Linked DNA regions of Bombyx mori. The protein of the gene in region 1 binds, or shares a complex with, the protein of each later gene. Links are inferred from orthologs where the notes say so. Each region holds a gene or a part of one and is shown on either strand. Other genes may lie near its edges. The genes, in order: mediator of RNA polymerase II transcription subunit 20 and mediator of RNA polymerase II transcription subunit 9.

The links.
Region 2: mediator of RNA polymerase II transcription subunit 20 (region 1) and mediator of RNA polymerase II transcription subunit 9 share a complex: the UniProt entries of both Drosophila melanogaster proteins name them as parts of the mediator complex. The link is inferred for Bombyx mori from reciprocal best matches to the Drosophila melanogaster genes MED20 and MED9.

Annotation. Positions count from the first base shown.
Region 1 is NC_085134.1:1,809,421-1,812,751, forward strand, and holds the end of mediator of RNA polymerase II transcription subunit 20, read right to left. Parts: intron 3,254-3,331; exon of another isoform or gene 3,117-3,253; coding exon of another isoform or gene 3,103-3,116; intron 2,714-3,102; coding exon 2,571-2,713; intron 1,782-2,570; coding exon 1,522-1,781; intron 792-1,521; coding exon 582-791; 3' UTR 532-581; downstream 1-531. UniProt on the Drosophila melanogaster protein: Component of the Mediator complex, a coactivator involved in the regulated transcription of nearly all RNA polymerase II-dependent genes.
Region 2 is NC_085116.1:15,850,732-15,854,167, reverse strand, and holds mediator of RNA polymerase II transcription subunit 9, read right to left. Parts: upstream 1,919-3,436; 5' UTR 1,642-1,918; coding exon 1,538-1,641; intron 1,455-1,537; coding exon 1,349-1,454; intron 1,159-1,348; coding exon 1,018-1,158; 3' UTR 655-1,017; downstream 1-654. UniProt on the Drosophila melanogaster protein: Component of the Mediator complex, a coactivator involved in the regulated transcription of nearly all RNA polymerase II-dependent genes.

The DNA.
Region 1 (3,331 bases):
TCCCGATCCTGCGGACCGAATGATAAACAGTCGACGTCGCCCAAAACACGTCATTTCGGATCCTCCCGATCCACTAACGGTGCTTTTAGGTACCCCAAGCACCGGTCATCGTTCTCGTCGAACCCTTCGCTTGCGACGAAGGGCTTGGCAAGTAAATGAATCCACAGACAAAGCCCACTGAGTTTCTCCCCAGATCTTCTCAGTGGGTCGCGTTTCCGATCCGGTGGTAGATTCTGCGAAGCATGGCTCTTGCTAAGGTTCATGTTGGCAACGACGCCAGGTTTGAGCCCCGTGATCTCACCTACTAGTTGGGTGAATCTAGAATAACCCCACGAGATCACTACATAGAATAGTAACAATATTTGTCTGATTAATGTCATTAGAAAGATTTAAAGTTCGAACCTCTCAAGTTTAACATTATTAACAATCTACCTGCCAGAGACAACTTTCTAAAAAAATCTCTTGACTCTATGTCCCTACTTAAAACATAACTACCAGACATTTGTCATAGAACAACTAAAAACGAATGAGTAAAATGTACATATTTATTTAATAAAAAAACACAAAACAGTCAACTTAGTTCATGTCGTTCTCATCCCTGTAGTCTTTCTGTAAGCACTGAAATGTTCTAAATACTGATATATTGTGTCTATTGGAGTGTATATTTCGTTCATTCTGCTTATTAGATGCTGAGGAGGTTGGACCGGAACAGTTGGCCCTAACAATCCTTGAAGGAACTCTCGAAGCAGACCCCAGACCGCATTAGCCATTACGCATGGTCTGTATTCTACCTAGAAATTATAGAACATATTCTAATGATACTGTGAATAATATCAATATAGTCTGAGATATTGAGGCAATGACAGAGAGTTAGGGAAAAGAGAATTGATAGATTGAATTGATTGATAGATTGACTCCTACACATCCAGTCTAGTCTATGCAACAATATGAAAGTCTAGCCGTTGCCCCTTGGCCAAAAATGTGTTTTGAGTATTAATTAGCACCAGATAGACGGTGAGCTCGAACATCTAATACTAAGAAAACTCAAAAAAAAGAGATGCCTAATGTATGCCTGACAATTAAATTTCCATAGAAAAAATAGCTTCATATTGTTATAATTATCAAGCCTATTCAATCCCCAAAACTAGGTATGACCTTTGGGCATATTTCTGCCACAAGGCACCACCACGCCACCAAGGTGTTCCACTTTAAATAATAGGTAACAGTTATCTAATATAATTGGCACTTCAACCTCATGTATTAAGGTAGCCAATGTCAAGTATGATATAATTTTCATGGTCCCTAATATTCACTACGCAAATTTTGAAAACTTTGACAACAACAGCAATCTATAAAAAACAAAGATTTTTTTAACATAATATTACGGAAGTATTCTTTTTAGGAACGTATTTCTCCATCTATCTTTATGTACTATTATAGATATAGTGACGGACGTTCTGGATGCCTCCAAGTGTTCACATATATTAACATAGCTATTCACTAATTATTCAATTCACTCACCTCAATCAAAATCCCTTTAAAATTCTGATTCATAGTAACTGATCCGAGCTTCACACAGAAATCTCCGAGCTCAAACCTAGGTCCTTTGCTCTCGATTTTGGTTTGTTTCTTAGAAGTATAATGCTGAGACAACTTCATCATTAACAAGTCAAATAGTCCGTCAGCTATGACGTGAATATTTTTCGTGCCACTTTCAAGGATTGAGAAGACAGACGCAGGCTGCTCAGAGTTGTGTAATATATGTACTGTTTTTGTTGTACCTGGAATATTTGAGTTACGTTTTTGCTGTCAGAAATTTTAAAAGCAGCATTAGACAAAACTTTAGGTAAGTGTGTTTCGTATTGTTAATTTCCACAAGCGTATGCAAGTAATGGTAACCGTTAAGTGGTCTGGCTGAATTTGATGAAAAGATAATAAATATTGGTATCAGCATCTCATCAACTTTTCAATTCAACTATCAAGTACACGATTAGCTTTGGTTTTTATAAATTCCTTGCATTTTATTTTTTATTGCTTAGATGGGAGCTCTCATCCCACCTGATGTTAAGTGGATGGATGGTGGTTACTGGAGCTCATAGATATCTACAACATAAATGCCCCACCCACCTTGAGATATAAGTTCTAAGGTCTCAGTATAGTTACAACGGCTGCCCCACCCTTTAAACCAAAAAGCATTACTGCTTCACAGCAGAAATAGGTGTGATGGTGGTAACCGTGAGGACTCACAAGACGTCCTACCGCCAGCAATTACACAAATTATAACTTTGCGGGTTCGATTTTTATTACACGATGTTATTCCTTCACTGTGGAAGTCAATCGTGAATATTTGTTAAGTACGTATTTCATTCGAAAATTGGTACCCACCTTCGGGCCACATAGGCCACGAGGACTTTAAGTACAATAAACTAGCTGACACCTTTGTAATGTCTGAAATATTTTCAAATATGTCATATCCATGTATTGGCGATGGGCTGTGTGATTTCTCTATAAATCGCTAAGTGGAATGTGTCTTTCTTTTTACTTTTAGCTTGGATTCAGTAAACACGTACCCATGAGTGGATGTGATAAATAACTCTCGCAATCAACCAGGAACTGTCCTTGTTGTGTCGCCCCTAATGCTAAGATACGCTTTGTAAGTAACTCCACTACATATGTTCCGGTCTTGTTCTCTGGCACTGGATATTGCTGTAAGCTGTCAAGTTAATAATTGAAACAGTTTATTAAATATAATCCACTCTTCACGATTTTTTTATGGTAGATTTTGTAGTTGTATCAAAAACATAATAAATAGATTTGTTTCGTTATTATTTTTAATGATACTCTTCCTTCAGTCTGGCCAAACTGTGTCAAAAATAAGCTACACTAACATGTATTTTTATTCGGGGATAGTTTTCATACACCGGATAAGGTTAAAGAAGAATTTGAGATAACGTATGAAGTCAAGAAGTTTACTTTCTACCTTTACATAGAGTTATTACTTTTATTAGTATTAGTATTATACATCGCGGTATATTTTTATGAATGTAATTATAGGAATACCACACAATAATAACGTTCTATTTATTAAATTTGCACACTTACACTGTTACCCCCATTATAGATTGTTTGTATACAAAGCACAGATTATTAAATTATTTTAGTCGCTATGGCAGTGGGCAGGCAGAGGGCTTGCAATTTAATATTAGTAATAGACAGGGGTGCCTATCTGAGATCGATTAATCGAATCTGAATCGATTCACTGCATCGATATTTGACCCTTGAATATCGATGTTGATTTTTTCGGTTTTGGTAAAAACCAGTAATTTATTTA
Region 2 (3,436 bases), on another chromosome or scaffold:
ATTCGGAGAAGAATCTGTATTAAATGTAAAACAACTATATTTTACTTTTAATACAAAACTATTGCTCTAAAATGACTGGCTGGAAAGTGGCACATACTATTCAAATTAATCTAAAATCTATATTGATCTTTTTATCTAACTTAAAGGTTTTTCTAGTGATTGTTGCATAGTACAATTTAGTAGTTTTACTACCAAGGGTAGAACTCCTGTCGTTTTCTGGGGACGTAGTGACACTGATTAATCTAGACAGCCTCAAGCCATACCGCTAATCCACCTGTCACAATGGGTCGGCATATTTTCGCAAGTTAAATCACTAATAACCTCGAGGTTCTTATAACACTAATTAAAACTCAAGTATATATTTTTACAGCACTAAGCTTAATCTTTTAGGGTCACTTAAAATATTTGAACACTTAAAAATAAAAATTAAAGTTAATGAGATCAGAGTTTTGAATCATCATTGCCTTAACTCTGAAAACCTTATAATCGCAATAAAATTAGTGAAGCTAGCTGCTTTCTAAAAGTAAATATATTTTCAATATTTTGACATTTACAATGAATACCATTGCAATATTGTGATTTTTTCTTAGAATTAAGTAAAGTTTATATTTTTATTGATTTGTTCAGAGTGAGTGAAATAAAAATAGCTCTAACTATGTTACAGTTTTTTATTATCTAATTTAGTAGTTATATTATGTAAAGGACACTACTGATAGTGAATTACAATCAACAGCAACTAATCCATGGTTAGCCAAAAACATCCAAGGAACTATTATTATTTTTTCAGTTGTTTTTTTGCATCCTGTACTCCTTCCTTCAAATTTGCACTGAACCTTTTTAAAAACTCTATAAATTTATTAACTTTCTGTGGATCAACATCAGAGAGCTTTTCCTTCCCTCTGTAAAATACTGAGACAGCTAACTGAGCTGCTCTTCGTACAGGGTAGGACTCTGCAATCTTCTGTACAATTCGTTCATTATTGGCTAAGTATTTAAGCAGCGCACGTAGAGGCATCTTCACTTGAATGATGTCTCAAATGAGCACATATTCCGATACTTCTGTAAGAGTTCACGCTTTAATCTCAGCTGAGTGCGGAGCAGTTCAAATTGCTTCAGCTGGTCGTGTTTGTTGAATTCTATACCTGGGAGCCTCCTGATCTGAAATGAGTGATATATTATTGCAGATAATTGTGTACTGGTTGATGATATATTATGGCAGATACTTGTGTATGAGTTCATGATAAATTTGATTCCTCAAAATACAAAAATTATGCTGACTTAGCATATTATTTTTACATTACAAATGTTAAATACCAAGTATGTTTCCAGTATTTGAAAGTAATCTCACCTGAGCTTTAGCTATTTCTAGCCTCTTTTGTAATTCAAGAACTCTATGACTGCACTCGTGGGACTCGCGTATTTTCGACGCGTTGTCGTGAAAATCTCTCTCCACGCTGTAATAAAAACATTTAAAGCACCAGAAAATACAAAATGAACTTGAGCAAATCTAGTTTGTCTCAAATAATACGCAAAATACCTTCGTATTATATCGTATACAATCGGTAAAAAGTCTACATCTACATCCTCAACAGTCAGGGGACTGTAGTTCGTCTGTTCTGAATGATCTGTGTTGTTTTCCATTGTACAAATTTTAAGCACAATTTTTCACTTGCTTATTATGTAACAGATTTTATTATACGTACGTTGTTTATTAATTTATAAATTTATTAGATTATGGTTATTAAACACATAAACCTAGGTACGTAAAAAAGTAGGTAGATTCTTTACCATCACAAAACCGAAAACGACAAAAATAATGATGTGTTATTGTGTTATCTATGGACAGCAATGGACTATGGACGAAATCGCGGAGAATAAGTCGAATGTTTGTGTGATCGGTGTTCGACAAGCAAAGGAAATAAAGCTCATACACGAAATTTTTGGAACGAAGTTCTTTACGGCAGGCTTGGAGGAGATAGGGATTTTGCTGCACGTCCGAACTGAAAAAAATGTGATAGTAAAACCGTAAGAAAAAGTCCGTGGAATAAAACCGTTAAATAAGACGTGCGCAGGCGCGACAGTCATATACACAAGCGAGTAGTGTATAATACCTTTCTCTTTTTATGTATATTCTTAGTACGATGGCTATACAGTGTCTAATGTATAGTCTACGTGATGACGGTTATTATTATAATTCGTATAAATAGCTGTTTCTTTGTATATTATTATTATAATTTTTTATAAATCATTGTGAATAAAATAAAGTTGATAACTTTGTAATGTAATTATTATTATATTTTTATCAATAAAAAATAAAATAATAAAAATGTATACCTGAATAATTATTTTCTTTAGACCTCGAATAGAACTTGAAATTAATATTTTTATAATAAGGAACTTCGTTCCTATCCGGTGTCCCACGACACCACACATCTTTTTTTTACAAAGGCTGTAGTAATGTCTGTTAAAGAAAAGTAAAATAAAATGAAAAAAATGTTTGAAATAAAATGAATTTGAATGAAATTATATGACCATCGGTGTTTTATGGGACGAAATAAATTAATCAGTCTGAACAATAGTGAGAGTTTACTCGTCACTTAACTTTTTAGAAACGCTTGAAAAACCAAGTTCAACAACTTGGTTCCATTTTCTTAATCTTATCCACTTTCACGAATACGAAACCGTTGCTATTTATTAAACTTGTAGAAACACTGGATTAAGAAAATAGCACAACTCAGACAAGTTATCTTCTCCTATTTCTGCCAAGATTTTGGAATCGACTAAGAAAATAGAAATTTTTTAAACTACTTACCTATCATTATATTCTGCATAAATTTTAGGCCCGACTCTACGAAAGTTTTAAAATTCTACTAAGTTTATTCACGCTGAAGGTAATTGTTTTTACTCAACTAATTATAATATGTGCTTAGTGATTTTAATTAATTAAAAATATATCAATCAGAGGTGCTACGGTAATAAAATACCCCATTCTTTCTAAATCAAGAAGCTCTGTAGTGATACGTTTTAGTATTGAAATCGCATCAGATTTTAAGAACGCCAAATGGCACTTCGAAACATCAGTAGCAGGCTCTATCCGAATCATTTTCTATGGTTCGTACGTATATTAAAATATGAGTTAAGAGTGTGTTGCTGTGTGTTATTTTGTTTCTGACAGGGTATACGAGGAACGAAGTTTTTTTATTTTTTTATTTTTCTATTTAGTGTTTATTCAGGATTAAATGTGTAACTTAACAATAACGGTGGTTTATTAATAATTTAATATCTGTGAAAGTGCACCAATGTGGGAAAATGAAATAAAGCTGCTGGACGTTGCTTCTCGGGATCGTCTAAAAAGTTTACTGAAAAAGTTTCAGTAAATAACCACAATTTTACTGAAATTATATTTCATCCCATATCATCTCATCTCATTTCATTT